Notamacropus eugenii: one gene and its partners. The protein of the gene in region 1 interacts with the protein of each later gene in a pairwise test. Links are inferred from orthologs where the notes say so. Each region holds a gene or a part of one and is shown on either strand. Other genes may lie near its edges.

What was found.
Region 2: the proteins of HTT (region 1) and UBAC1 interact in binary tests that used the Homo sapiens proteins (3 or more experiments, as listed by UniProt). The link is inferred for Notamacropus eugenii from reciprocal best matches to the Homo sapiens genes HTT and UBAC1.
Region 3: the proteins of HTT (region 1) and MTUS1 interact in binary tests that used the Homo sapiens proteins (3 or more experiments, as listed by UniProt). The link is inferred for Notamacropus eugenii from reciprocal best matches to the Homo sapiens genes HTT and MTUS1.
Region 4: the proteins of HTT (region 1) and DNAJC4 interact in binary tests that used the Homo sapiens proteins (3 or more experiments, as listed by UniProt). The link is inferred for Notamacropus eugenii from reciprocal best matches to the Homo sapiens genes HTT and DNAJC4.

Annotation. Positions count from the first base shown.
Region 1 is NC_092877.1:53,267,519-53,274,805, reverse strand, and holds the start of HTT (huntingtin), read right to left. Parts: upstream 3,406-7,287; 5' UTR 3,394-3,405; coding exon 3,173-3,393; intron 1-3,172.
Region 2 is NC_092872.1:490,823,684-490,831,897, reverse strand, and holds the start of UBAC1 (ubiquitin-associated domain-containing protein 1), read right to left. Parts: upstream 3,153-8,214; 5' UTR 2,849-3,152; coding exon 2,711-2,848; intron 1-2,710.
Region 3 is NC_092878.1:168,561,262-168,569,547, reverse strand, and holds the start of MTUS1 (microtubule-associated tumor suppressor 1), read right to left. Parts: upstream 3,302-8,286; 5' UTR 3,108-3,301; intron 1-3,107. UniProt on the Homo sapiens protein: Cooperates with AGTR2 to inhibit ERK2 activation and cell proliferation. May be required for AGTR2 cell surface expression. Together with PTPN6, induces UBE2V2 expression upon angiotensin-II stimulation.
Region 4 is NC_092873.1:17,067,001-17,074,553, forward strand, and holds the start of DNAJC4 (dnaJ homolog subfamily C member 4), read left to right. Parts: upstream 1-4,401; 5' UTR 4,402-4,487; intron 4,488-6,943; 5' UTR 6,944-6,951; coding exon 6,952-7,043; intron 7,044-7,521; coding exon 7,522-7,553. Other genes in the region: uridine diphosphate glucose pyrophosphatase NUDT22, read left to right, coding at 1-355, 1,875-1,973, 2,068-2,165, 2,558-2,651, 3,457-3,561.

The DNA of each region.
Region 1 (7,287 bases):
TCAGCTATCTCCCTCCCCCTCCCACAAAATATAAATTTCCAAAAGGCAAGGGAGATTGCAGTCTATTCTCTCCAATGAAGCCTCATCCCACAGCTCTAGTTTACACTTCTTAATGTTTGCTGAATTGAACAGAATGATAAGGATTAAGAAGATACTAGTGTATCATTCTAAAATTTAAGTTGGTACATTTTTGTGTGGCAAAACCTTGTCAACTTTAACCCAGTGCTTTCTAACCGAGAAGTTTTATACATGGCATCATGATAACCATACCAAGACCAAGAATTCTCCCAAAGCCTCCATAGGGAAGCTAGAACAATGCAAAAGAGTTATTCTAACCATCCACACTAGAAAAACAAAAGTAGATGAAAAACATATGCTGCTCAGTCTATAATATAAAGCTAGACTGATAGTCCATCAACATGTACAACTTGAACACTTAATTAAAATAAAAAACCGAGCCCAGATTGAACATGAGGAGATTGGGCTAGCTCACATTTAGACACTAATGTGTGCCTCTTAGTTGCACATTCCAAACTGCATATTGCCACAAATATCCATCTCTTTTAAGGACAGACATGATAAGTCATGTCTATAAATCATGATATGCCAAAATCTTGGAAGAATCAAATTATAAGTAACCCTAATAGCACTGGAAAGATTCATGATGGGTATAAAAAAAAACAATGGCATATTACTAGCAATGACATGAATATGAAAAGTAGAGCTTAAAACTCTGAGGTTCTACCTCACATAAATAAGATTAGCAAAAATAGCAACAAATGAAAATGGCAATTATTGGTCAGGTTATGGGAGATCAGGCACACTATGGACTGTTGATGGAACTGTAAAGTGATCCAAGTACTCTGGGAAATAATCTGGAACTGTATTTTAAATACCACTAGTGAGTGTGTGTGTGTGTGTGTGAGAGAGAGAGAGAGAGAGAGAGAGAGAGAGAGAGAGAGAGAGAGAGAGTGTGTGTGTGTGTGTACATCCTTTCACCCAGCAATAGCACTATTAGGCATATATCCTAAACAGGTCGAAGACAGAAAGGAAAAGATTCGCAAGGACAAATAATCATAGCAACACTTTTTCTTGTAGCAAAAAACTGGAAACAAAGTGGGTACACAGAAGAAAACAAAGCTCTGAAGGGGATACAAGCTGGGCAATTGCTAATTATTAAATTAAATATATTCTATCTTTCAAAGCAAATTGCCCATAATGGATATTCCCCTTCATATGCAAACCTTTTTTTTTGTACATTGAAATGTTTTGTGTCTGTGGGAAAATAATTTTATAGTAAAAATAAACTTTTAATTTAAATGGTGTTTTAAGTTAGCATCAGTGACTAGGACAAAAAAGTGGGCCAGTTGTATAGCCAAACTGACAGACCAAAGATGAATAATTCCCCTGCTCCCCCAGTATCCTTTGATACAAAAGAACCAGAGTCAAGTTCCTAGTACATTGGACAGATTTTCTAAGAGGGATTTATGTGAAGACACACAAGAATTTACAGGATGAAAAGACATGAGAGGTTTTGCCTGGTACTGGTGGAGAATGAAGTCACACCTATGGACATTTGGGTCCAACAAAGTAGCTAAAGTAATTTTCCATAATTATTTTTTCGTGAATTATTTTCTTACTATTTATAACAATATTATTACAAAGGTATAATACTATATTCAGGCCAATGTTCACTGACACCATCTTTAACCTTACTGATAAAAACAGGCAAAACTTCACATCAAGTTCTCAGCTTTCATGGTGGCCTATGTATTTCAGTTTCAATTAAGTAAATTCTCAAGAAAACAGAGCAGCAGACAACTAGGCAAACAGTCTATAAAAGGATGACATCTGTGACCAGTTTTATTTATTTTCTTCCTCCATGTGTTGTCTTCCCCTGTCAGAATGTGAGCTCTTTGAGAACCGGGATTGTAGCTTTTCTATCCGCAACCCCGGTGCTTGGAAGATAGTAAGCACTGAAACGCTTTTTCATTGCTTCAAATTGACATGTTTCTGTAACGTGCATCTCAGAATTATCGTACGTGCCAAGTCCAAGCAAGTTACAAACAACATCGGGAAAGTATATTCAAGATTATCTTCCTAGTCTTGTAACAATTTAACTACTGTCTCCAGAAGCATTTTTCTTTCCAAGAGAAAAAAATGGACTTCAGGAAAATTTTCCCAATACTTTCACTATTACCATCTCTCGTTTATTCAAAATTAAAATTCCTGAACTAAGAGTAAGTTCATCTCATTTTTACTATTATGTACTACAACCTATTCAAACTCTTACAGACCAGCATGGAAAGTGAGAAGTTGGGACCCTTCGTTATTGTCATCATCATGGTGACCCTGACTAGAATTTAACGCTCTACACAACTTAGTAACGAAGCCAAAACTCTCAGGTCCAGAAGAGCCACCCCCGGGGCTCGGCTCTAGCGGACGTCCCGGGCCCCACCCTCCGCCCCCGCCAGGACCCAGGTCTTGGGCTGTCAGAAACCCAGGGCGGGGACCACAACTTCCAGACTTCACTCCAATTCCTGAACCTTCCTTCCCCCCGAACTTAGAGAAGTGACGGGAACCCAGCAGAGAGCCCACGGGAGAGGGGAGGAGGAGGGGGGGAAGAGGAGGAGGGGGAGGGGGAAGAGGGAGGGAGAGGGGAGGGGGAGGAGGGGGAGGGGGAGGACGGCCGGAGGGGGAGGGGGAGGACGGCCGGAGGGGGTCGTCTCAGGTCTTCGAGGAAACGAGCGCGAGAAGCGGGTCCGCTTCCCAGCAGGGGAGCAAGCGCAGGGAGCCCCGGGTCTCCCGACGCTGGGGGGAAGGATGAGGGGACCCCCGGCTCCCTTCCTCGAGGCGCGCACCACGGGCCCCCTCAGCCGGGGGAGGAGACGCCAAGCTGGGGACAAGCTGAGGGGGCCCCCCGACGTCCCCCCTGGGTCTGGGAGGAGACCGGACGTCTAGTGCCCAGGAAAGAAGGGGGTGGGGCGAGACCCCCTCCCTCAAGCCGGGGAGGTGACAGGCTGAGGGGTGCCCTCGGGGCCAGGACCACAGGTGCTCCGGCCGCCAGCCCCCCGGAGCCCCACCCCCAGGCCCCGTTTCTCGGGGGCACCGGGGATCCCGGGAGGGGCCGGGGCGCCGCGCTCTCCCCGCCCGGCCGGCGCCAGCCACTCACGGTCGGTGCGCCGGCTCCTCCCCCCCGGACGGCCCGGGCTGCGGCGGCGGCGGCTGCTGGGGCGGCTGCTGCGGCGGCTGCTGGGGCGGCTGCTGCGGCGGCTGCTGGGGCGGCTGCGCCTGGGACGGCTGCGGAGGCTGCGCCGGCGCCGGCGGCTGCTGCTGCTGCTGGAAGGACTTGAGGGATTCGAATGCCTTCATCAGCTTCTCCAGGGTGGCCATGGCGGCCAGTCAGCGGGAGGCCCCGCGGCTCCCGGCGCCAGCCCAGGGCCCGGCGTGGCCCCCTGCGCCCTCCCCGGCGGCCCCCGGCCTCTCCCGCGTCTCCGCGGCCCCGCTCAGCAGCCGGGAAATGAATGGAACGCTTGGCAAAGACCCGAGACGGCGCCGAGCGCCGCCGCCATCTTGGAACTGTCCCGGCAGCCCCCGCGACGGGAAGCGGCCCTCAGCGCGGGGTTGAGCTGGGAGGAGACACTGACGCTGACGAGAGGGGGCACCGCGGGAGTGACAGCGAGGCAGAAACTGCGGCCGCCAATCAGAGGCGAGAGGCGGGCCTAGGCCCCGCCCACCTCCTACGGGGCGGGGCCCCACTGTAGCGCTGGCGGCTGCCGACGTAGGATGAACGTGGTTCTGGTACATTGAGAGGGGTTAAGAGATGCCCGAGGAAAGAGGGACTCTCTGCATTCCTCGGTCTCTGGAAGAAACTCAGCCGAACCTGTCCGAGAGTCGGCCTCATCCTCAGAGAGCTGCAAAGCCACACAACAATCCCATGAGGAAACGAGTACGGAAGGGGAAATTGAGGCTCAACAAGTAGAATTGGCCCTGGGCTAAGTGTTGAAGGTTGAATTTGAACCCAGGTCCTCTGAGGCGGGATTCAGCGTGTTAGCCACTAATATCGTCCCAACCTACAACAGAGCCTCCCCCACCCCCACTACCAGTCAAAAAGTTCTTCCCCATGTCTAACCTCCTTCCTTTTGTTTTGGAAGCAGCCTGATTCGACTCAAAAAGCAAGGCTTGCCTTCTTGCCAGGCCATGTATCAACACAGTTCATCCACACAGGTCCCTTTTCCCCGAGAAACTCACTGCCTAGCCTGGAGATGAGACAGGATAAAATCCAGGGTAGCTTGCTTTGTGTGCCAATTCTCCGTACCTCCTGTATATGCTGTCCTGTGCCTAGCTTGTTCGTACATATTGGATTGCTTGGGGTCCACACCACCCACCACCGTTAGATTGTAATTGCTCTGGAGAGCAGAGACTGTCTTTGCCCTTCTTGTATCCCCGGTGCCCAGCAGGAAGGGGACGCCTTATAATTTATTGAATGCTGCTGGTGTATTATTTTATTGGGGAGGGGGTGGCATAGAGAGGGTTAAAAGCTTCAACAACAGGAATTCCTATAGGAGCTAGCAGTATGTGCTCTCTACCCCCACCCCCCATCTCTTAATGGGGAGTTCTTAATGGGGCAGTGCCGAAGTTGGGAGGTGCACAGGAAATGATAAGAGGGGTACATGGGTTTATCCCAACCTCAGAAATGAAGGCAGATAGTGTGAGGAGGCAACTAATACCTTCCCTCTGAGGCAGGAAGGAGGTTTAAGGCATTCACCCTGTCTGAGCTAGGCACAAGGATGAGGGGACCCTCTCTGGAGAAGGAGCATGGAGGTAATTCACAACTGTCTAAGCAGCCCCTTGAACCAGATCTCGGAGCCAATGAGAAGAGGCACCGAAGAAACTGACAAGTAATCTGACTCTGGCAGAGTAATTAACAACAGGGGATAGAGGGATCATCCCAGAATCTGGAAAACTGCCAGACATCTGCTTCCATGGACAAGTCACTCAGCCTTTCTGAGTCTGTTTCCTCTTAGCTCCCAGGGCTATTCCAAACCTCAGAGGAGATGATATTATAAAAAACACTTCTCAAACTTTAAAGTAGCATACAGATGTAACTTATCACAGGGATGATAGAAGGTGGCCAGGGCCAAGAGGAACTTGGGAACTCGGAGGGAAGTAAAGGGGCAGCAGAAGCCATGAAGTGTCTTTTCCCCTGCTAAGAGGAAGTAGACTTTCAGCAAAGACAGCTGATCATACAGAGATTCAGAGAACTGCAGCTTTGTCATAAATGATAGTCTAAGAGGAGAGGCGCTGACCCAAAATATGACCCAGACATGATACAAGGCAACCTCCTTTTGCAGCCTAATGAAACCTGTGGACCCCTTCTCAGAATCATGTTTTTAAATGTATAAATTAAAATACATAGGATTACCAAGGAAACAAATTGTTCGTGAATCCCAAATTAGGAACCCTATCCCTGTCTTACACTTGAATTACATTGGCACTCCCAATTACATTTTAATCTGGTTTGAGCTGCACTTGAGAGTGGCCCAGTATTTGACTCCTTTGTCCTACAGCACTCTTATCAAACTTAACTATAAGGATCATATATATATATTCATATGTATGTAACTTAATTTTGAAATATAATATTGTCTATTTTTTTTTTTGCATTTTCATTTATTTTGTTAAATATTTCCCAACTGCATTTTAATCTGGTTCATACTGGTCCCTGTGTTTAATACCTCTGTCTTAGAACATGAATTCCCTTGGGGAGAATGTTTTTCTTTTCCCCCTCTGGCCCTTGAACTCATGAGAGACTCCTTGTTTGTTTTGAGGAACTCTCTACATAGTTTTGCTTGGTATCTGCTATGTGCGTGTGTTTCATTTAAATACTTTACTATTTGACTTGGGCTTCCTGCCTGGACTCTGCACTGAATGGGGATTTGAGCTGTACTTTTTCCACACAGTAACCCAAGGGATGAGGGTGTGGGTTCCAGAGTCCAGTAGGAAATCCATTCAAGTAGTCTAGCAAAAAGAGCTCTAGATTTCGATTCCCAGGACCTTTGTTTTAAACTTTGCACTCTGATACTTTGCCAACTATGTTACATCTCTGAGCCTTGTTTTATTCATCTACAGAAGGGAGATAATTATACTTGTACTTAATAGAATTGTCATGAGGAGAACAGTTTTTATCCTTTAAATGCTTTCTTAAACCCTAAAGCCCTGGATAAATGGAATTTATTATTTTTAAATGGTTATTTACTTATTTGTCCACAGAGTCCTCATCACAGCACAGAGGAGACCCTAGCAACACCTCAAAAGCCAACACCATTGGAACACAACCTCTGGTAGATCCTACAGATATGGAAAGGATAAAAAGTACAGGCCCAGTGATAGAATTAATGTCTCATGACTGAAGGTTTAGCCTCCTGGAGTTATTTTTTTTTAATCACAGTCCCTCATGAATAATGTGGAGGAATTTTGATCTTAATCTGGGAAGAGATAAAATCATGGGCCCCTGAAGTATTATTGTCTTCTCCCATTTCTAAATTCCCGTCCTACCAGGCCTTTATATCTTCCCATACACCTAATACAGGGCTCTGTACTTAGATTTAGAACTAGACTGGACTTCAGAGGTAATCTAGTCCAACTCTCTCCTTTCACAGAGAAGGAAAACGAGATTCAGAGAAGCAAGGAAATAAGTATTTATTAAACGCCTACTATATGCCAGGCACGGAACTAAGCATGTCATTAATATTATCTCATTTGGCTCTCATAACAACCCTGGGAGGTAGGTGTTATTATTGTCCCCATTTTACAGAAGAAAAAACTGAGGCAAAAGAAGTTAAGTGACTTACCCAGAGTCACAGAGCTCCAAAGTGCCCGAGGCTGGATTTGAATTCAAGTCTTTCTGATTCCAAATCCAATGCTGTATCCAGTAGAACCACTGAAGTCACCAGTAGTAATCATAGTAACTAAAATTTATATAATGCTTACTATGTGCTAATTATGATAAACGCTTTATAATTATTATTTCATTGGATCCTTACAACAACCCTGGGAGGTCAGTGTTATTACAAGCCCCATTTTACAGATGATGGAACTGAGGCACATAGGGTGAAGTGACTTGCCCAGAGTCATACTGGTAAGCGTCTGAGGCCACATTTGAACTCAGATCTTCCAGACACCAGGCCCAGTGTTCTAGCCACCATACCACGTAGGTAGTAATGGAAGAGCTAGGATCTGAACCCAGAACCCCTAACTCCAAATCTAGGGCATTTTTTTTCACTG
Region 2 (8,214 bases), on another chromosome or scaffold:
AACTGAGGCTCAGAGGAGGGAAACAACAAGCAAGCTGAGTTAAACAAGAAAGTGAAAGGGCCAGAACTTAAACCAAAACTTCAGACTCAAAATCCATGGCTCTTTTCAATCTGTAAATGCCTTCTCTCTTCCTCCATAGTTCTATAGCAAGTAAATAAACAGTAGCAGGCTACGCTCCATACTTTAGTGGATAACCCTATAAAAATAGCGACTCTGCAGAATAGTTTTCATTAATCTCTGAAAATAACTATAAATCAATGTTTTAGACAGCTACTATAACACCAAGGAATCTCTGGGCTACAATTTACCCATATTTTAACATTCAAGGATAATTAATGTATCACACATAGATTATTACAACATGCATATTCCATAGTCACATATATCTTATAACATGAATATTACATAAAGAAACACTTCACACTAACGGGTTACTGTGGTGACACAATCAACAGCTTTTTTCCCAATTCTAATGAGACAATGGCCTCTGGCACAACACTTTATGTAACATAGTGACAAGTATTGACTAGGCATTTATACATTTGGTCTATGAATTGTGTTATAAAGTTAAAGTTTACAGAAATGAGTAAGTCTCCAGGAATTCGTTTCAGCCATCAGTTATATAATATATGATAGCTACACACATACACACACACTAACTCATTTCATTTGTGTACAATAAATTTAAAAGTGTGGTCACTTCAGAAAATCAGAAATCAGGAATCCATTTTTAGTTTTTTTTCTTAAAGGTAGTAATTTCAAACCAAAGAGGAATGCCTTGAGAGGAGAGGTAACGTTTTAGTGGTTTCAAGTACAGTAGGAAAAAAAAACTAAACCCTGCTGTGGAGAACATGCAACACAAATAACAGTTAACAAGAATAGTCCAAAATGCCAGGTTTTATCGAGACAGTTTTAATGTTTCTATGACTTCATTTAAGTGTGCCTTAAAACACTAACTATGAGTTCATGGTGAAACTGAAAAAAAAATTAAAACTTCACCAGAAAGATAGGAATTGACCTGGACCTGTGATTTCATAGATATAGGAAATTCAGGTTAGGAAATCCTCTTCCCAACAAAGGTCAGCACCTTCTCTGCCTAGAGCACTGAGAGGTTAAGGGTCACACAGTCAGTATGTGTTACAGGCAGAGCCTGAATCAAAGTCTTCTTAACTCTATTCAGGGGGCCATTCTGCCTCTTTATCCCTACTGTGCATCACTGAAAGTGACAGAGGAATATAAAGATCCTTTTCAAAATTTCCTTGAATCATCAAAAGAGTTGAAGCAGATTATGTAATGAGGGTAAGTGTCTAGTGTCCTACCTATCTCCTTCTGTAGTTCATATTACCTCAGAAAAGAAGAAAATAATAGAATGTGAGAACTAGAAAAGTCCTTTAAAGATCATCTGGTGCAAGCATCTTATTTTGCAGATGGAAAAGCTGAGGTCCAGAAAGGCTTTCCCTTGCCTAAAGCTGCACAGCTTGTTGGGAGCAAAGTTAGGACCAGAATCCATTGTACTACAAAAAGAGAAAGAAGAAAAAGCCAGGAGAAGCAGAATGGAGGTGGGTGAAAATGAGTTCACAGACTAAGGATTATTGAACGAGGTCAAAAAAAGATGTCAAAACAAAGGGGGATGAGGTGAAAAACCAGAAGTAAAAGGAGGGAAGGAGGAAAAAGGAAAAGAACTGTAGGAGGAAGAGATATAGAAGACAGATAACAAGAAATGGAAATGTAAGAGGGGAAGAAGGAAAGCAGAAAAGCGATTAAGGAAGGAAAACACAAATGGGCAAAAAGAAATGGAAAAATGAGTTAGATGAGTTTAGAAGTAGTAAGAAGGGCACAGGAAACTATAATTAGGGAGGAGAAATGTGGAAAAAAGGAAAAGGTGTCTAAAACCAGAAAAAATGTGAAAACACTAGAGGAAGGGGTGGGGCTTCTGAATCTCCAGTTCCCTCCCTCTCGGACCATTTTAAATTTAATTATTTTGCATTTTTTACTTTCTTTACATTAACTGTAGCTATATACACACGCATATGTACCTATATGCCTCTCTCTCTTCCTACACACACACACACACACACACACACACACACACACACACACACACACACACACACACACACACACACAGATACACCCCAATAGCTATGCCGATACAAATACAGGTATTATTGCTTACTCCTCCATGAGAAAGTAAGTTCCTTTCTAAAGTAGGGATTGTTTCATTCGTTATTTGTATCGCCAGAACCTAGAACATTGCCTTGGCACATAGTAAGTATCTGATACTTATTGATTATCTGGGGGAATAAGCTGTAAAATGAAGAAAGGAAGAAAAGGGGAGAAAGAGGTTAAATGTAAGAAAAAACAGAAATGGAAAGAAAAGAAAGAAGGAAGGAAGTAGATTAAAAAGGAGAACGAAACTTTAGGAGAAGACGAAAAGCAAAGAGACAAAACTGTAAGTAGGGAAAAGGAGAGAAGGATGGAGTGAAGAAGCATCAGTGAAAACGAGAGTGAGTGAAAAGGAAAGAAAAGGGGGGGGGGGGGTTCAGCGAGGGAAGGAAAATGTAAACGGAGGAGAGAACGGAGGGCAGATCGGCTCTCGGCTGTGCGCCACGGTCGGAAGGAGGGGACGAGGGACGGGAGGCTAGGGCCGGGGGCATGGGGATGAGGGGCGCCCGAGGCAGGGCCCGCCGGCTCGGCGGCGGCTCCTTACGTGTTTGAGGCAGCGCTCCTTGAGCTTCTCCACCGTGGTATCCTCGGTGACCTCCTCCAGCCACTCGGTGCCTTCCATGGTGCAGATGTGAAGCCTCAGGACCTTCCTGGCGAAGATCTTCTCCTCCTGCACGAACATCGCCGCCCTCCCTCGGCTCCGGCCGGGCCCGGGCCTCGCTCGCCTCAGTCTCCCTCGGCCTCAGTCACCGCCGCTGCTGCCGCCTCACACGGCCCTCCTCAGCCGCCCCGGGGCGGGGGGCCCGCGGCCCATGAAGGTCACCGCGGGCGGACGAGCGAGAGAAGCAGAAAAGCTAGTCCCCAAAAACCCCGGTCCCGGCCCCGACCCTGGCTCCCGCCCCGTAGCGACCTGTCACTCGCCGCCCTCCGCCCGCAGCCGTCGCCCTGACTAGCTACCCGCCGCTGCCGCCGCACGCCGGAAGTGCGGGAGGAGGTGCGCCCCGGGGTATTCTGGGAGTTGTAGTCCCAGCTTCGACTCGCCTCAAAGGGATCCCGTGGACCCTAAGAGCAAGAATGCGCGGGATAAGATTTAGAACCGGAAGGGACCTAAGACTAAAGAATATCAGGCTGAAAGACCAACATGAAATAGAAAACGTTACAGCTGCAAGAGAACTTGGAAATAAATAATGTCGTTTTGTAGATGAAGACACTGAGACGCAGGAGGAAAGGGACTTGCCCAAGTTCACAAGGCTAATTCAGTTGGATGAGGAGCCTCTAACCCAGGCTCTGTTTAGACTCCCCTTGGAGCTGTCCAGTTCTGAAAGCAGTCATTTGGAAACGCGATCACATTCTTTGCTGTGGTGACCTTGAGGGAGACACTCAATAGGATTCAATTCAACTTAATATTTGTTCATATGGGCAAGGTGCTGTGTTAGACACTGGGGATACAAAAACAAAACTAACAGCAAACAGTCCTTATGCTCAAAGAGTGTGCATTCCATTGGGAAGATAAGGTATGTACACAAGTAAGTAAATGCAAAATATTCTCAAAGTAATTTAGAGAATGAGAGAGTGCTAATCAATAGGATGAATAGGAAAGGCCTTTAAAATGTGGCATCTGAACTGCTCTTTGAAGAGGAAGCTAAGCAGCTTCTACATTAAGGGATCGAAGGGCTTGGGATATGATATTCAGAGGTCAGAGGAGCTAGGATTAAAACCAAGAATCACCTACCCAGCAAAACTGAGTATAATCCTTCAGGGGAAAAGATGGTCATTCAATGAAATAGAATACTTTCAAGCACTCTTGAAGAAAAGACCAGAGCTGAATAGAAAATTTGACTTACTAACACAAGAATCAAGAGAAGCATGAAAAGGTAAACAGGAAAGAAAAATCATAAGGGACTTACTAAAGCTGAACTGTTTATATTCCTACAAGGAAAGATAATATTTGTAACTCTTGAGACTTTTCTCTGTAATTGGAGGGGTTATATACATATAGACAGAGGGCACAGGGTGAGTTGAATAGGAAGGGATGATATTTTAAAAAGTGAAATTAAGGGGTAAGAGAGGAATATATTGGGAGGAGAAAGGGAGAAATGGAATGGGGCAAGTTATCTCATAAAAGAGGCAAGAATGGAGGGGAAGAGAGAGGAGGTGAGAGGGGAAAAGTGAACCTTACTCTCATCACATTTGGCTCAAGGAAGGAATAACATGCACACTCAATTTGGTATGAAAATCTACCTTACACTATAGGAAAGTAGGAGAGAAAGGGATAAATGAGGGCTAGGGGGGATGATAGAAGGGAGGGCAAATGGGAGGAGGGGGTAATTAGAAGTAAACACTTTTGAGGAGAGATAGCATCAAAAGAGAGAATAGAATAAATAGGGGGCAGGATAGGATGAAGGGAAATATAGTCTTTCACAACATGACTTTTATAGAAGTGTTTTGCATGCCTATATTTGTATAATATATATCAAATTCTTGCCTTCTCAGTGGGGATGGGTGGGGAGGGAGAGGAAAAGAAGTTGGAACTCAAAGTTTAAAAAACGAATGTTAAAAATTGTTTTTACATGCAACTGGGAAATAAGATATACAGGTAATGGGGTATAGAAATCTATCTTGCCCTACAAGAAATCAGATGGAGATGAGGGAAGGGAGGAGTGTAATAGAAGGTAGGGCAGATTGGGGCAAGGAGTAATCAGAATGCACATTGTCTTGGGGTAGGCAGAGGGGAGACATGGAGAGAAAATTTGGAACTCAAAATCTTGTGGAAATGAATGTTGGAAACTAAAAATAAGTAAATAAATTTTAAAAAGAAAGAAAGAAAAGGGAACTAAGGGATTCCAAGAAGTGGAGATGGAAGGAATACGTTCCAAATATGGGAAGACCATTTATGCAAAACATAGAAATGCATGATGAAATGTGTGGGGACCAAGTATTAATTAAGTGGCTAGATAGAGCATCTATTAAGCACTTATGTGCCAAGCAGTGAAGTAAATACTGCGGATACAAATACAAGTATACTTTTGTTGGGAATTGTGGAAGAAATGGATAAAATCTGTGTGCTGTAAGTTTGGGGGAAACATCTCTCCAGAAAAAGTAGCTTTAAAGGTCAAAAGGAGCTACAGGAGTGTGTAAATTTTATTCAACAGGATAAGCCCATTGATTCTATCTGGAAGGAAGCTTCCACTACCTTGGAGACCTAGGTTCTGATAGGATTAGTGACCAGAGTAAACAGGATCCTTGGTAAATCCTTAGACAACAAGTCATAGCTGACTCTTTTTGACCCCATTTTACAGGTTTTCTTGGCAAAGATTTCATTTTGCAGCTGAGAAACTGAGGCAAACAAGGCTAAGTGATTTATCCAGTGTCTGATTTGAACTCATGAAAATGAATCTTCCTGGTTCCAAGCCCAGTGCTCTATTCACTATACCACCAAGTGTAACAATAATTTAAGGTTAATGGAGGGGGTGGGGGAGAAGAGTTAAAGATCTTCCCCACCCATTAACAGGCCTCAATATCTTTTGCTAATTTCTATTGAAGCACTGGATCAGGGGATCTTGCCCTCTTGCTCTGAAAAATGTATAAATACTCTGAGGTGAGGTTTTGTTTTGGGGCTTACTCATTGGAAATGTTTGTTTGGCCAGAGGAGACTCTGGGTAGCTGCTAAGAAGCCCCCCCGACTTTAAAAACCCAGATATTTATTGGTGCTTCTCTCTCTGGTAACTATGTATGTACATTGGTCTGTGAAGTTGGATCTGTCTGTTGATCTGTGATGTATGTATTGCTTCTGGTCAGATAGTTGGAAGCCCTGTCTGTTGATCTTTATTTCTCTGCCTGTATTTTTTCTGAAGTTCAGGGTGCTAACTTTTCCCCCTGAACTAAGTGAATGATACATGTGCTTGATTAAAATAGATTGTTGATCCCTCAAAAGTCATTTTCCTTTTAGAAAAGCAGATCTAAGAACATGTACAACAGGCCCTCCTGTGTATGCCAGGGTCTTTACTGTTACAACTAGCTGCCCAAGAAATGAAGTTAACAAATCCAAACTCCATTTAAAACATCACTTCCCCCAAATCACCTGACATCCTGTCCCTATTATTCAATAAAGGAAGTACCTAAGTTGCCTCAGCTGAGAGATTTCTTATGCCACTGTAAAACTATAAAAACACCTTTTGCTGTGTAAAATCCTATGTATGTATGTACCTCCCTTGGTTCTGTGGCTAGTCACCTATCAACTGCCTACCAGCTGATGATAATGAAACCTTATGTCTTCTAGCCTTGCCTCTTGATTTATAGGCCTTCAGTCAAACAGTCCAAAGTGGGAGGATCTCTGGACTGAATAATTCCTCAATAAGATACAAGTGCAACCACGTTTTTGTTTTGACTGATTCAGGGGTAGTCTCTACCCTCAAAGAACTTACATTCTAAGGAGGAAAGACAATACATAAAGGGGAGTCGTAGAGTTGAGGGGTACTAGATCAATTGCCTATCTCCTTTCTCTGGAAAGAAGATGGAGAAGTTTAGAGAGTGATTGAAGAGAATATGGCCTGAACCCCTCATAAAATGGTAATCTTGGCTAGAGACTCACCAATCAGAAGAGCAAAACTCAAGGCAGAAGTATCTTCAGGGTGGGAAGACAGTTCTCAAGGCGGTTGAGAAGTTAGAAGTCTGGAGACTGAGTGGGCCTCAAGGTAGATTGCTGTGGTAAAGGCACTTTGCCCTAGCTCAGAGGAGTCCAGTGTTTCTCCTCCTTTGACAAATATACAACATGATATTTCACAGTTCAGGGCCCAATTTGCCGTAACTACAAAGTTACTACAGAATTAATGCTAATAACTATTCTTTAAAATAAAGTAGCATTAGATAGTTCTCAGGAGATCATTCTGGCCTTTGCATTCTTTTTCCCTACCAAAGGCCTGCTTGCTGGGGGTATGAAGGCAAAAAACAACAAATGGACCCTGTCCTCAAGGCATAGTCTACTGGTAAAAGACAAAATATACAGATATGTAAATAATAAATACTTTGAAAATGGAAAGAATGTGATGTAAATGGGAAGATCTGGAAAGCTTCAGAAAAGAAGATGTACCTTAAATGAGCCTTGGGGCAAGTGAATGGTAAGAAGGAAGCACATTCCAGGCACAGGAGATAGTATAGACAAACCCTGGGAGAAAGCATGTCAAGTTTGGGGAACAGTGAGGTTGGAGAGAGAATTTAGAACTCAAAATTTTTAAAAATAAATATTAAGAATTGTTTTTAAACATAATTGAACAGCTAACATTCCAGTCTGGTAGGAACATAGAGTATATGAAGAAGAGAATTATGAAATAAAACTGGAAAAAAAAATGTGAAAGTCAGATGGGGATGATTAAATATCAAGTTGAGGAATTTGTGTTTTATCCTAAAAGTAACAGGATTTTTGAGTGCGGGGATTACATAGCCAGACCTGCTTTTAGAAAAGTTTTGGAAAGAAAAAAAAGTCCACTGTAGAAAAGCTGCCTTCCAGCTCTGACTTTCTTTAAGGTCCGTTTTCAGCTCTCATATTCTATATCTTTAAAGCCCTTTCAGCTCTAATATTCTGGGTTCTAAGGCCCGTTCCAGCTCTGACATTCTGTGCCCTAAAATTCCTAGCCCTGACATTTGACAATTGTATCAAGGGGAAGAGGAAAAGAACTGACCACAGAAGTATCATTTCCTTGGATATCCCTGGCCCTCTTCTCCCTGTCCCTCCTCCTTTTCTGGAACTTGATCTGAGCTTCAACTAGGATGGGACAGAAAAGAGGGAGAGAAATGGGACAGAAAGGCTAGAGGTGGCTTTTGGTTCTAACTTCTATGCTGAGCAAGCTCTAGTGGCTGAAGACAGGTTTCATTTTCCAGGACAGCAGCCTGGCTTTGTGCCCCAGCACCAAGAGTTCCCTTGAAAGAAATGGAATCTGTCCTTGGCATTTTCTGTGGAGGAGACCACATGGAAGTATTAGCTTTGCTCCCTATCTTTCACTCTGTGAAACCTAAGACAATTGGGAGAAAAAAAAAAGAATACTAGTCCTT
Region 3 (8,286 bases), on another chromosome or scaffold:
TCTCTGCCAGGGTTGTTGTCGAGATTGAATGATGTGTTTATAAAGTGCTGACTTAACACAGTGCCTGGCACACAGTAGGCAGTTAATCAGTGCTTATTCCCTTTCTCTCCCTCCTATATATATATGTGTGTGTGTGTGTGTATGGGTTATATATATGTGTATATGTATATATATATAGAGAGAGAGGTTATATGTGTGTGTGTGTGTGTATATATACATATATATGTATGTGTGTACACACACACACACACACACACACACACACACACACAAATTAGTTGTTTTCTTATTTGGAAAGGGTTGAGAGGAGCCACTCACCTCCCAGAGAGGAAGCTGGGGGGGAGCCCTGGGGGGAGGGGTTGGCCTGTGCCATCCCTGCCAGCTCCAGGCCTGAGATCACTCCCAGTAGGACAGTGGGATGGCTCCTCCCCTGTCTTTGTCATCCATGGACTTCCCCTTCATCTGCCTCTCTAATATCCCTACTGTGCGTCAGAGTGGGTTTGGGCCTTGTGGGCCAGCTGGATTAATGGAGGTTCAGAGCCAAAGCATGGCTTTCCCTAGCCCTCGACAGTGCTGGAGGAATGAGAGGCAGCCTGGGTGGCTCTTGGGACTGGATTAGTCTAGAAAGGCTAGGTTCAGGATGATATGAAGCGGCCGCTTGTCCTTTCATCCTTACATCTTCTTTATCAGGGTCTCATGCTTCCCTGGGATGCCGGGAGCTACCACATTCCTCACTGGGGGGGAGACAAAGTCCAGCAGGCTCAGGCCAACTCCAAAAGCCTCTGCTCTCCTACCAGGCCCCGGCAGAGTTCGAGTGGCCTTTGAGGCCTTGGGGCCACCTCTCCAATTCCTCCACATCAGGCTAGGACTTTGGGGGCCAAAAAAGGCAGTGTTCCTGTGAGTCATGTAAAGGCCGGCCGGCTGTCAGAGAGGGAAGGAGGGACAAGCCATTGGGCTGTACTCGATGTTCCCATGAAAATGGAAAGCATTCCCGGAAGGTCCCCAGAACACTGGGTGGTCAGAAGAATGAAAACAAAGGCCCTGCCCTCCAGAGAGCCTCACCTGGAGGTGACAGTCACCTATGGAGATGGGGAAGCCAAGGTTACAGGGGAGTGACACAAGGCACAATGTGGAGGACTCCCTTGCAAATTCCAGGGCTTCCCACACAGTCTTCTGTCTACCAAGGTTTCTGGGAGGACCAAACACTTGGGGGGGAAGGGCAGGGCAGGACTGGGTGGTGATCTGCTTCACTGGAGAGAGCAACCACCTGAAGGAGATCTCACATCTGAGGAGTTTTTTCTTCCTAAAGGGAAAAGTTAGCTTTAGGCCAGCCCTGGTCCAACTGCCACCCAACACCAAAGCAAAGCAAACCCAGCCCTGAGGCTCCGTTCTGGGGAGGGTGTACAGTTTCTAGATAGGTCTTAAAGGCCACACCCTAAATCTGCCTCTAGCTTCAAGTCAGGGCTCTGGTCCCAGAATGGGTCAAAAGGAGAAAGTCATTCGTGGCTACAAAAAGCCAAGAAGAAAGGAGCATTCTCCGGCCTCTGAGGATTCCTTCCCAATTCCCTGGGCCTCAGTGTGTTTATATGATCAATGGGTGTTCTACCCACCAGGCTAGGAAAAGCTCCAAACAAAGTCTCAGGCGATACCCCGCACACTCCTGCAGGCTTGAGCGGGAGGGGGCGGGGAGGGGGGGAGGGGAGGGAGATCCAGGACAAGAACAACTGGATGTCAGGTCTCTGCTCTCCAGGCACCAGGCCGGGGTCCTGGGCTCTCCCAGACTTAACTATGGAGGTTAGAAGTATCAGCAGTAGCTAGCATTGTATGGCAGGTCCTGTGGTTTGCAGAGCACCTCCCAAATCCTCACACTGCCTGGGGATGGGTGGATGGGTGGGAGGGGTGGTGAGGACCTTGTATCACCAGAGAGACGCTGTCCAAGGTCCCACAGCTAGGATGGTCTGAGACTGGATTTGAACTCAGGGCTTCCTGACTCAGGTCCAGCATTCTGATTCTGGCCACCCAGAGGCCCTTAGCAGTAGACTCTCCTTGACAGGGAGATTCTGGAAGCATAAAAGTCATTCCCCAGAACTCATGGGATAGGACAGTCAGGTTCCCTCTCTCTTTATTAAAGGGAATCCAGAAAGCAGTCGAGGAGGGTGGGGGTGAGAGGAAGACAAAGGACTTGAGACTGCCAGACAGGGGCCAGAATTCCGCCTCAGGCTGTTCCTGAATGGGGGACCCTGGGTGAGCTGCTTGGCCTCAGTGTGCCTCACTGTCCCCCTTTGTAAAATGGGAATCATAATAGACTCCAAGAGGAGGCCCCTCCCTGGGACCCTGAAAGCATTAGCATGGTCACTAAGATGCTGCTATACAAATGGGAAATGCTCTCATTCTGCAGATGTCGAAACTGAGGCTGGGGGCAGTGCCTCGCCCACTCCCACCCCCATTCACACACTCACAGACTGCCAGAGGTCAGTCACAACTTTTGAATTCAAGGGCTGTGCCTGGCCCTTAGCCCCTTCCCCCCAATACAGGAGGGGAAGGGGTGGGTTGGAGAAACTGATCATCTGCTTAACCACTAGGTCCCGGAACCCCAGATTCCTAGTTAATGATGGGTTCCCTAGCCCGGTCCACACTCGGGGTCTCCCCTCCGGGGTTGGTACCAGGGGAGCCCAAGGCGTCAGCGGGGCAGCAGAGACGCCCCCTCCCACCTCCTTCGTGGGCACTTTGCCCACGGACTCCCGGGCATGGGTGTCCTCCCGTGCAAATGGGGACTCTGCAGGCGCACGGGCTGGCCCGGGCCTCTCCTTGGACAGCTGGGGAAACCGAAGTTGGGAGGGAGCAGAGCTGTAAGCCAAGGTCTTCCACGGAGGGGGTGGCCAGGCCGGTTACCCCTTGGCGACGCGCCCCGGGGAAGGTGCCCCTCTTCTTCCCCACCCCCTTCCCCCCAACACGCGCGCACACACTCCCACGCACGGAACCCGTGGCAGGGCACCCACAACCGCAGTGCGTCCTCAGGCTCGGCCCTGAGCGTAGACAGAGCCACGGAGTCACGGGCCTCCCCACCCCACTCGCCTCCCGCCTCCACTCCCTGGCCCTGGCCGTACCTTGGGGCTCGCGGGTCTGCCAGACGCTCCGTCCAAAAGCCCCAGAGTCCGGGGCCCCGAGCTCAGCCAGAGCGGACACCAGGACCCGGCTGGCCGCCGCCGCCGATCCCAAAGCGTCCAGCCGCTCCAGGGGCTGACTCCGACGCCCGGGGTCACTCCGTCCGCACCTGAGCGGCCTCGGCCGCCCCGCCCCCATCCCCTGGCCGCCCCGGCCCCGCCCCCGGGTCCTCCTCCCGAAGCCCCGCCTCTCAGGGTCAGTCCTCCAGCCTGGTGTCCCCCGGTGCTTGGGGCCCTTCCCCAGCGCTATCGCTGCGTCTGCCGGACTCGAGCCCCGGCCCTGCGTTTTGTGGGGGTCTCAGCCTGGGGCTGGAGCCCGGCGGCCCAGAGACGGGCAGGGCCCGGCCCAAGGTCACCCAGCAGCCGGGGCTGGACCTTGGGAGTCCCAAGCCGGGAGCGTGGCTGAGGCTTCTCTGTCTTCCTTCCCGGGCCACCCCGGCCTGGCCTGCGCAGGGTGCCCAAGGGCAGGGCCAGTGGTAATCCTGAGCATGGGACCCAGCCCTCCCGTCGTGGGCCACCCTGGCCCGGCCTGCGCAAGGAGCCTAGGGGCAGGGCCAGTGCCAGCTCCGCGTGTCCCTGACCCTCAGGTAACACTGACCCAGCCCTCCCGTCGTGGGCCAGCCCGACCCGGCCTGCGCAAGGTGCCCAGGGGCAGGGCCAGTGGTAACCCTGAGGATTGGACCCAGCCCTCCTGGCCTGTCACAGCCGCCAATTGTGTGTGCTGCTGGGGAACCTGTTTGACTTCATTTTTTCCAAGAGATCCACATCGGGGTGGGGGAGAGGAGAAAAAGCCCAGCCCTGAGCTGGGAGCTGCAGGGAACCCTGGGGCCCCTGGCCACCCGGTACTGGCACCCACCCTCGGGATGCCTTCTGGGGGCAAGCAGTGCTGAAACTGAGGGGGGAGGGCTGCCAGGAACCTTCACCTGGGCACCTCAGAAGCCACATGATGCCCACTGGGGCAACAATTAGAGAGTCAGACCAGAAGTTCAAAGAGCCAGATGAGGAAACAGGATCAGGGAGGAGAACCTAATCACCCAAGGTCACGCTGGCAGTAAATGGCAAAGGTAGGATTTGAACCCAGAGCCTTTGACTCCAAACCCACCAATCTTCCCACTGGGCTAGCATCCACTTACTAGTTAGATGATCTTGGACAAGTCTCTTTCACTCTCTAGGTCTCAGTTTCCCTCTCTGTAAAACCTAAGACCATTCAATCCTAGCTCCAGAGCTGGGGAGGGTCTCAGCCACCCTCTCCTTTTACAGGTGGAGAAACTGAGGCCATGGGCAGAAGTGACTTGTCAAAATTGACCCTGCTTAGGCACACCATGTACAACCAGGACCCCCAGCTCCAGACCCAGGGCCCCTAGTCTCCCAGGTACCATCAGCCCCCTTGGAGCAGGGGGTCCTTGCACTTGCCCCAGGATGTCAGAAGAGGAGGCCTTGCTTTGTCTGTCTTCCAGCCAGGGTCCAGGAGTCAGGCATCCCATTGAGTTACATGCACCAGTCTCCCGATTGTTTTCCTTTGACAGATGAGTGTTACAAATAGCCATGTGGTTATTAGTCTTTCCCACCACAGGTCTGACTCATTCACCCCTGGCATCCGTTCTGGCACCTCCCTGCCCCACTGGCATCCAGGCATTGCGTAACCCTGGGCATCAAAGTTCTCCAGGCTAGGGGCTTGCTCCTCACCAGACTGAACCCCCTGAGGGCAGGCCCCAGACTTCTCAGTAGTCTGTGGACCTGGTGTTGAATAACAGTATCCTATTGTGCAGCCTGGCTGACCCCAGCACCCATGGGTGAGGGGGGGCAGAGGAAGAGGATCCCATGGCGAGCCAATGCCCAGTGAGCACCTCCCAGCCCCCTTCTCCAAGGCTCCAAATGCACTGTCCTGGCACACACCTGGGGAGGCTGCCCTGTGCCCCCAACGCCAGGCCAGTCTCACTCTGTGAATCTTAGATTGGAGACTCCAGGGTTTGGCCTCTCAAGGCTGAGAACACAGGGTCCCTACCAACAAGGGAGCAAAGAATCAGCAGGCCTGCTGTCCTGAAAGGTGGGGGCAGCCTCAGGGCCGTTCTTGAGAGCCAAATCCCAGGAGGCTGCCCGCTTGTAACATGCCTCTGATCTCTGCCACACTCACCCTCCCCTGAACAAGCAGGGGAGCATTCCATAGTCAGTCAACAAGCTGACTACAGGCCAGGAAGGCCCTCTCAGAGAAACTGAGGCCAGTGCCACACCCTCGCTTTGCCAAGCAAAAGACCCTCTACAGAAATGCCAGCCTGGGGCATTTGACATTTTATGGCAAAAGAAAACAATCAAATCATCCTCCTCTGAGAGTGGTGACTCAGCTGGGCCACAGGCCTGTGGCAGAGGAAGGCTTTCCTCTTCCTCTACAAGAGATATGTTTGTTGTAAATGGATGTCCAAAACCAGTTGTGGGCAGCCCTCCTGTGACCAATCGGAGCATGACTGTCCTTAGCCTTATTCATCCTCTTGGGGAGTCCTCCCTGGAGATTCAGCTGCCAAGACCAAAAAGCACTTGTTGATCAGGCCACTGTTTCCAGGTAAACCAAGTCTGGTAGGAAGGACGTTGTCCATTCATGTGGCCCAAATTGGCTCTCATACCCTGCACTGAACCAGAGGCAGCTCTGTGTCAGAGTGGGCAGAGTGCCAGGCATGGAGTTGAAAATGCCCAGTTCAAATCTAACCTCCAACACTTACCAGGTGTGTGACCCTGGTCAAGTCACTTAGCCTGTCTGACTCAGTTTCCTCAACTGTAAACTGGGGATAATAATAGCATCCACCTCCCAGGTTTGTTGTGATGGTCAAATGAGATAATAAAGGTAAAGTGCTTAACCTTGAACTTAGTACACAGTAGGTGCTTAATCAATGTTTGTACCCTTTGCTCTTCTATGCCCAAGGCTCCTCCTTCAGAGAGGCAGGCACAAGGAGGGAATGTTGGGAATCTAATACTGAGCCATTGACTGTGGATTTGCACCCAGCTCCCCTGAACCCAGACAGATGCACGTTGTCTCTATAACAAGCCATGGGAGGCTCTTGAGAGGAGCCTCTCCGAGGGCAGAGACTTTCAGGGGTTCTCCATTAGGCTAATTACCATTCACCCGATCCTCCGGCGTAACCGAATCCGGAGCCTGCCTTCCCGCGGTCATTATTCCCATCCCGAATGTCGGTCTGTCTGTCATCAAATATTTATCTTCTCCTTTGTTCTCTGGAAGGCGTCTGAGTGTGGAGAAGGACGCGGCGGACACGAGTGCAGGATAGTAGGACCGAGATGGAGGCTGCGAAGCGATCGGGGCCAGAACGTGCGGAAGCCAAGGGGCAGCCCCGCCCGTTTTCTTCATTTATCCATTTGATTCCTCTTTATCTTATTAATTAGTTGGTTTTTCTTTTCTTAATCTTCGTTTAAGCTCATTGAGCATGCAATTTTCAGAAATTTAATGTTTGGGCGGGCTTGGGGATTTTAACTTATTTATTTTTCTTTCTTTTTTCTCCTTAATAGTATTTTTAACCCAATGACATGTGAAAATAGTTTGGACATTTCTTTTTGTAAAATTGTGAGTTCCAAATTTTTCTCCCTCTCTCTCTCTCCACCCCCCTTCCCAAGACAGCAAGCAGTCTGACATACAGGTTATACATGTACAATGTTAAATCTATTTCCACATTAGTCTTGTGGAAGAAGAATCAGAGCAAAAGGGGAAAAACCACAAGAAACAAAACAAAAAAAGAAAAATAGTCTGCTTCCATCTGCATTCAGACTCCATAGTTCTTTCTCTGGATGTGGAGAGCATTTTCCATTGGAGTTGTCTTAGATCCAAGCATTGCTGAGAAGAGCTAAGTCTATCAAAGGTGGTTCTCGCACACTGTGGCTGTTACTGTGTAGAGTGTTCTGGTTCTGCTCACTTCACTCAACATCAGTTCAGCAAAGTCTTTCCAGGTTTTTCTGAAGTCTTCCTGTTTATTTCTTATAGCACAAGAGTATTCCATTGCATTCATAGACCACAACTTGTCCAGCCATTCCCCAATTTATGGTCATCCCCTCGATTTCCAGATCTTGGCCACCACTAAGAGAGCTGCTAGAAATGCTTTTGTACATGTGGGTCCTTTTCCCATTTGTATGATCTCTTTGGGATACAGCCCTAGAAGTGGTGTTGTTCACAGTCCCTTTCATCCCCCACCTCTCCATCCCTGGGAGGACTGCTGCTTCTCTTTTATCCATCCACTCCCTCTTTCCTTCTGCTCGGAAGGATGGCAGCTATTTGTTATCATGCCCACCACATTTGGAACCAAAGCAGTCAGTCATGAGAAACTTTATTCCTTTAATTGCTTGTACATGTTACTGGGCTGCTCAAAGCTGCTATTCAAACTGGATGATCATTTACCATGAGTTTGGTTGCTCACAATTGTGGGCAGCAAAACTGCCCAGGACCCCCACCCAGAGGATGAATTTTCCTCCAGAGTAGGCTGGAAGTGGGGCTGAGCCAGCGAGAGAAAGAGAAACAGACAGAGGGAGTCAGAGCTTTCTGCAGTTCTGCAGTTGGACACTGGAGCCCATGTACACCCAAGATCGATTTTTCGAGCTTGGAGAAAGAGAAAGATAAGAGCCAGAAAGTCACTCACTGTGGGGGGGCTGCTGCGGCTGGTTCTTATGGTACTGAGAGTGGTGATTGTGGTACTGGTGGTGGTAGCTGTAGCTGCTTTCCCTGAGGGCACTGGGCACTGAGGCAGGGAGATTCTGAAGCTGGGGGTCCTCTCACTAGACATTGGGGTCCCTGGGACTTCCTGTCCCAGGGGCCCTTTCAGGCTCCTCCCAACCAGATGCTCTGACCGCCAGGAACACTGCATGGATTTTTCCCATGCATCCTGCCACTCACTTCTTAGAGAGGCCTGTTCACTGAATGGGTGTTGCTTCACTAAGTGGTCACTTTCCTCCCCTCATATTCTTGTCCAGACCACTTTGTCTCCTGGTTCCTTCCTAGCCTTGGTCTCAGCCGCCCAGATCCAAGCTGTGGCCAAGGCCTGTCCCACTGACCTTTGGAGAATCTCTTGAATTTGCCCCCTTCTCCCCTCTGTGTTGCCCCAGCCTGGTACAGGTCTCATCCCCTCCCACC
Region 4 (7,553 bases), on another chromosome or scaffold:
TGCCATTTGGGATGCCCGCCGGCAGGCCCAGCCCTGGCTCTTCAACGCTCCCAAGTTTCGACTGCACTCGGCAGTCCTGGGGCCCCCTGACCCTGGAGGACCCTGTCTGACGCTGCGTATGGGCCTCACTTCCTACCAGGACTTCCTAGGCACCAACTGGGCTAGCTCGGCAAGCAGGCTGCGATGCCAGGGGAAAACTGACTGGGGAGATGCCCAGGCCTACTTAGCAGACCCACTGGGAGTGGGTGCCATGCTGGGCACTTCAGATGGTTTCCTGGTCTTTCTTCGCCGGTCTCTGAGGGTGGCTGAGGCCCCTGGGCTGATAGATGTGCCAGGGGGGCATCCTGAACCTCAGGTGAGCACCTACATCCTGAAGAGTCAGGCAAAGATAGCCACTGGCCTTCTAGAGCCCAAACAAGCCAGGAACTAGAAGTCTTTCAGTTGAGGAAACTGAGGCAGACAGGGTCACACACATAGTAAGTATTTGAGGCAAGATTTGAACTCAGATCTTCCTGACTTCAAGCCCAATGTGCCCCCTTGCTGCCCACCAGAGGAGTTTCTATTTGATACTTTTGGTAATAGGGAGCTGTTGAAAGTTACTGAGAACAGGATGGGGGCATCATGACCAGACCTGGGTTTTCAGAAAATCCCTTTGGTGACTGAGTGGAGGATGGGTTGGAGTGGCAAAAGGCTTGAGGCAGACAAACACCCCACCCCACAGCAGCTACTGCAATAGTCCAGGGGTGAGGTGGTGGGATGGTGAGAGTCAACACTACGGTGATAACGCTATGTAAACAGAGAGAGCGGGGAAGGTTGTAAGAGAGACTGTGGAGGAAGAAACAGAATTTAGCAATTGGTTAGCTATTTGGATTTGGGGTGAGAATGAGGAGTGTCATAGATGACCCACGAGGCTCCTGAACCTGGATAACTTAAAAGATGTTGGTGACTCAGCAAAAACAGGGAAGTGGAGGCGGTAAGTATGTCTTAAATCCCTACTGTGTGCTGGGCACTGAGCCAACAAGTATTTCTTAAATGACTACTGTGTGCTAGGCACCATGCTAAGTGGTAGGTCTAGAGGAGTGATGAGTTCCATTCTGGGGATGTTGCATCTACTGGCTAAGGGGCATTCACTCAAATGTCCAATGAGGGACCAGAGGGCTGGAGAGCGGCTAGGGTGAGTGATGAACTTCAAAGAAGGGGAGAACAGAATGTGTTCAGTGGAGAAAGGAGGAGCGATCTAGGACTGTGACTAGCAGGGCTGGGGGGATCTGAGGAAGGTTTTGGAAGGAGAGCAGCCCCTGGGGAGGTGTGCAGGCAGCCACGGAGCGGGGAGAGTAGCCATGAGGCACGGTTGCCTCGCTCACAATTGGCTCTTTTGACCTGTTCATGTGTTTATCCGTTTTGCTGAGCTGATGATTTTTCTTCTTTATTTGATGAGTCTATGGCTAAAGAGCTGAGGTCAGAGGAGAGAAGAGCCCTCCTGGCTGTGTGGAGCTCTAGGCAGCTCTCTGAGACTTAGTGGCCTGCATTGCCTGCAAGAGCTTCTTCAACCAGGAAATCCCAGGTCCATTCTCTATCCCTTTGATTCTTTGTTGCCAGAAACCAATGGCTTATGAGGGAGTTATGTGAAAAGGAAGGGTGTGTGAAACGCAAAGTCAAAGCCAGGCCTAGAGCCTCAGGTCTCCTGGTCTCTAGAGCTTGTCTCTTTTCTGGTCAGCCTGTTGCCCTTCCTCTGATGTGCTTCAGTGGGGCTGGGACAAAGGGAGTAGAGCAAGGCCGGGTCCACCTGGCAAGTCTTCTTGGAGCTGCGGACTTCAGCCTGAGAGGCTAGGCTGCCCTGGGGAGGGGAGCGAGCTGAGGCTGCCTCCTTGTAGGCCCTGTTTCCTGGGGAGATGCCCCGGCACGAGGATCTGCCCGAGGACCTGCTGGTTCCGGAGCTGTTCTCCTCCATCTTGCAGGAGATCCGAGATGAGGTGAGGTGCTGAGCCTGGGGCTGGGAGGATGTGGAGAGTGGGGAGAGCAGGAGCTGAGGCAATGACCCCTGACCTCCGACTCTACCCCCACCAGGTAAATGTGCCACTATCCACTTTGAGCCATCCCCTCCTTCTGGGCATTGCCCGAAATGAGACCAGTGCAGGAAGAGCCAGTGCTGAATTCTATGTCAGGTAAGTGGACATCATATGGGGAACTGTGCTTCCTTCTTCTGAGGGACAGAATTAGAAGTAGGAATAGGCAAACTAGGGAGGGGATCAGGGCACAAACATTTTAAAATGTGACTTTTTTTAGAAGGTCTTATTTTTAATACAACCAAATCCTGCTGTGTGTGAACTACCAGGCTTTCTTCTGCCATCAGCCAGATTCCACTTTTCAGGGAAAGCTTGATGTCCCTAGGGGCACAGCATCATAGAAGGGCTCTTCTAGGAGAGGCCTGAAGTCCTGGGCTTGGAAAATTGAGATCTGGGCACCTGGAGCCTCAGGGCAGGATGGAGCTTGGGACCCCTGGCCAGAGTGGGTCTGCCCTTCTCCCAGAAGCTTGTCTCTCCCCCTCCTCCTTTAGCTGTAGCCTGACCTCTGAGCAGGTGAAGACCCTCTATATGACCGGAGGACCGGAAGCTCATGAGTCCACTGGAATCATCTTCATGGAAACGCAGGTGAGAGTTGGGAGACAGGATGCCTTGGCTGATGCTGGGAGTGAGTGGAAGGCTGGACAGATTGGGGGATAGCAAGCCAGGGCCACAGGTGGGATTTGGTTTGCTCCAAATCACATGGGCAGATAATAATTATGTTTTAAGATGTTCCCAGGCCAAGATGAGATTTTAAAGAAGGTAAACAGGCAATCCTGAATCTGTACAATTGATGTCTTGAGCCCCAGGGCTCAGTGTGGCTGGTGTGGCTGATTAGATGCTAGTTCCAGTGTGAAAGGTCTTAGGGTTTAAGTGAACAGTCAGCTCCAGGAGAGTCTGGGGCAGCCATGGGGGTTCCCTCTGGCTTATCCTGTGTTAGTGGAAGATAGTATTGTGTTCAGTTGTGGGCACAGCACTTTAGGGTAGGCATTGACAAAATGAAGCCTCTCTGGAGGAGGGTGGCCCACGTGGGGAAGGAGCTCACGTTCACATCACAGGAGTGGTGGAAAGAAATGGGAATGCTTATCCTAGGTGGTAGAGGGATTAGATCACTCTGCTTAGCCCCAGAGGATAGAGCTTGGGAGGGATGGATGCAAGGCTGCCCACACTGCCTCTCCCCGGTGGTCTTCAAGCAAAGGCTGGGTTGCTCTGTGCCAGACATGGTGGGGAGGGGATTCTGGACAGGGAGGAAACATGAGCAAGTGGACAGGGGGCCTCTGAGGTCCCTTCTGGTGTTAAGAGGCAAGAATACCCAGAAGCAACCAGGAGTGGGGAGGTGAGGGAGGGCGGCTGGGGACCTAAAACCCTGATCCAAGACTGTCTTCCTGCACAGAGAGTCGGGCGCTTGCAGGAGGAATCCGAAGCCTGGGGTGAGCTCTGTCCTTCGGCCAAGGGCGCTATTTTGCTCTACAATCTGGTCCAGGCCAGGTTGGCCTGAGAAAAGCCCCTGTACCTTGTATCCTGCCGTCCCTTCTCAGCTCTGTCCTGGGCCGTCCGGACAATAAAGCCTTTATTCTTGGAGCTGTGGTGTCGTCCACTCTGTCTTGTAAGGCACTGTGCCTTAGTTTCTCCTAAATGGACAAAGAGGCATGAGCTTACTGCGTGAGCTCAGTCTATGCGGTCCTGGAATTTACAGGTTGCTTCAGACCTTGACAACACCTCACCTTCGTTGGGTCCTGGACCTCTGGGAGCGTCTTGGGAAGCCCACGGACCCCTCCTTACCAGTTTTTTGATGCATAAAAGAATAGGATTATAAGGAACGATTTCTAATGAGATAATATCAAACTCAAGACCCCAGCACGCCTTCATCTAACAGCTAGGGAAACTGAGGCCCAAGGAGGAAAGGAACTGACCCCTGGGGACGGCTTTCCCAGCCCTGTGTGTGCTGGGAGCCGGGGTGGGGGCTGCACTCCATGGACTCTTGGCTCATTCCCAAGGTGACCCTGGACAAGTCACTTGACCTCCTCTGTAAAGCAGGGCGGGGCTGGGTGAGATGCGCTCGGAAACCTCTACCCTCCGGGCCCGCCCCCTGCCCAAGACACACCCCGCAAAGCAGGCTAGGCAGAAGGGGGAGGGGCCGGGGCCTACGGGGGCCTATGGGGCTCCACTAGGGGGCGGGGCTCCATGACGTCGGGTCCTGCTCCTTACGCCTCTGCCTCTTGATGGGCGTGCCTAAGAGCGCTAAGGCCAATGGGAGCGGCTGAGGACGGGTGGTGGGTGGGGCTACGTCAACTGATTTTTGTGGGCCTGGTAGGCGGGACTAGGAGCGGCGTGGGCCAATTGTAAGATCCTGGGGGCGGGCGATGGGCGTGGTCTGAGCGGGAGAAGGAAATGGCGGCGCGGGCGTCGGACTGCGGAGCTCCCGTGAGTGTCCGGGCGGACGTGGAGGGGGGGGGCGGGGGGGCACAACAGAGGCAGTACGTGGGGGCGGGGCTTAGCGCCCTGGCCCCTCCCCTGAGATCAAGGTTGGGGGGGCGGGGGGACATCAGCCTTGTTTGCGGAGCCAGGACTTGGGGCAAGGGGAAGGTTTCGGGGGGGGGGGAGAGAGAGACAGAGAGAGAGAGAGAGAGAGACTTCCTCTGCCTCAGTTTCCCCCCCGGAGGGGGGTGAGAATCTGCTCCTCCTCCTGTCAGCCTCTCCCTCCCCGCGGGAGGGACTCCCGAAGGCCGGACACGCCCAAGTCAGAGACCCCGCCGGTGCCCCCAGTGCTCCCTTCTGGCCGTCCCTGGTGGCCGCCGGTGCCCCCAGGGTCAGATCCCCAGCCTCCGCAGTGCACGAGACCCCGCCGGTGCCCCCCCAGTGCTCCCTTCTGGCCGTCCCTGGTGGCCGCCGGTGCCCCCAAGGGTCAGATCCCCAGCCTCCGCAGTGCACGAGACCCCCAGTCCCCCCAGTGCTCCCTTCTGGCCGTCCCTGGTGGCCGCCGGTGCCCCCAGGGTCAGATCCCCAGCCTCCGCAGTGCACGAGACCCCGCCGGTGCCCCCCCAGTGCTCCCTTCTGGCCGTCCCTGGTGGCCGCCGGTGCCCCCAAGGGTCAGATCCCCAGCCTCCGCAGTGCACGAGACCCCCAGTCCCCCCAGTGCTCCCTTCTGGCCGTCCCTGGTGGCCGCCGGTGCCCCCAGGGTCAGATGCCCAGCCTCCGCAGTGCACGAGACCCCGCCGGTGCCCCCCAGTGCTCCCTTCTGGCCGTCCCTGGTGGCCGCCGGTGCCCCCAGGGTCAGATCCCCAGCCTCCGCAGTGCACGAGACCCCGCCGGTGCCCCCCAGTGCTCCCTTCTGGCCGTCCCTGGTGGCCGCCGGTGCCCCCAGGGTCAGATGCCCAGCCTCCGCAGGGCACGAGACCCCCAGTCCCCCCAGTGCTCCCTTCTGGCCGTCCCTGGTGGCCGCCGGTGCCCCCAGTGCTCCCTTCTGGCCGTCCCTGGTGGCCGCCGGTGCCCCCAGGGTCAGGTCCCCAGCCTCCGCAGTGCACGAGACCCCCAGTCCCCCCAGTGCTCCCTTCTGGCCGTCCCTGGTGGCCGCCGGTGCCCCCAGTGCTCCCTTCTGGCCGTCCCTGGTGGCCGCCGGTGCCCCCAGGGTCAGATGCCCAGCCTCCGCAGTGCACGAGACCCCCAGTCCCCCCAGTGCTCCCTTCTGGCCGTCCCTGGTGGCCGCCGGTGCCCCCAGTGCTCCCTTCTGGCCGTCCCTGGTGGCCGCCGGTGCCCCCAGGGTCAGGTCCCCAGCCTCCGCAGTGCACGAGACCCCCAGTCCCCCCAGTGCTCCCTTCTGGCCGTCCCTGGTGGCCGCCGGTGCCCCCAGTGCTCCCTTCTGGCCGTCCCTGGTGGCCGCCGGTGCCCCCAGGGTCAGATCCCCAGCCTCCGCAGTGCACGAGACCCCGCCGGTGCCCCCAGTGCTCCCTTCTGGCCGTCCCTGGTGGCCGCCGGTGCCCCCAGGGTCAGATGCCCAGCCTCCGCAGGGCACGAGACCCCCAGTCCCCCCAGTGCTCCCTTCTGGCCGTCCCTGGTGGCCGCCGGTGCCCCCAGTGCTCCCTTCTGGCCGTCCCTGGTGGCCGCCGGTGCCCCCAGGGTCAGGTCCCCAGCCTCCGCAGTGCACGAGACCCCCAGTCCCCCCAGTGCTCCCTTCTGGCCGTCCCTGGTGGCCGCCGGTGCCCCCAGTGCTCCCTTCTGGCCGTCCCTGGTGGCCGCCGGTGCCCCCAGGGTCAGATGCCCAGCCTCCGCAGTGCACGAGACCCCCAGTCCCCCAGTGCTCCCTTCTGGCCGTCCCTGGTGGCCGCCGGTGCCCCCAGTGCTCCCTTCTGGCCGTCCCTGGTGGCCGCCGGTGCCCCCAGGGTCAGATGCCCAGCCTCCGCAGTCCCCCCAGGTGCTGACCTGAGTAGGAGGATGAGCTGCCGCGGGGCGGCCGCAGCCCCGATCAGCTTCGGAGCCTTGCCGGCTGCAGGGGCTCGGCCGGTCACCGCGCCTGAGTCTGCCTCAGTTTTCTCAGCCCTAGAGTAGCGGTCATAACCCACATCCCAGGGTTGTTGTGAGCACTAGATGAGATCATGTTTGGAAAGTGCTTAGCACGGTTGGGGCACGTAGTAAGTAGGTGCTTAGTAAATGCCCCCCAGGGTCCCCCAGCATCAGAGACCCTCTCAGTGTTCCCCAAGGGAAGACCAACTCCCAGGGTACCCAATGACAGAAGCTCCCCCCCCCCCCATCATCACTCTCAGGAAGCCTGCCCAAGGCTATCTCTGCTGCCAGAGATTCCCAGCCCACCCAAGGGAACTTAGAGACCATCCAGCCAAGTGCAGCCTGGGTGACTTGTCTGTGTCCTGCCCATCTTCCCCCAGGTGCAGAAATGCTGCTCCTCCGCTTGATCCCTCAGCTTTGCCAGCTATGCCCCCGATGCCTTCCTTCTGCCAGGCCCCTCAGCTCTGCTCTCTGCCTGAGGTGAGTCCAGCTAGGAGAGGGAGAGACCCCAGCCCCAGGCCTGTCTCCCGACCTATCTGTGACCTTGGGTTCTTCAGGGCTGTTTTAAGGGGGTTGGACCAGGTGGTCTACAAGTCATCCCTTTTTGGTGGTAAGGACCTGCTTGAGACTGGTGGGGGGTGGGGCTTCTCTTCTGTGCCCCACCCCCAGCTCCCACATTCTATGCTCCACAAAGAGTCCTGGATAGGGGACTCAGAGGGCCTGAGTTTGAGTCCCAGCTCAAACACTTCCACCCCCTTTCTGGGCCTCCATTTCGTCATCTGTAAAACAAGACTTGATTCTGACCTCTGAGGTCTCTTGTATAAGAGGCTGGCTTGATCTGCTCAGGGCCCCACTATCTCCCCAGCCCCTGACTATCTCTTCAGTGACTGGATAAGATTCTGTTACTTTGGGGACTCAAAGAACTATCCAGTCTCCCCCACCTCCATCTTCTGTGCAGGGCAAGGCAAAGTAACTATTATGAGCTTCTGG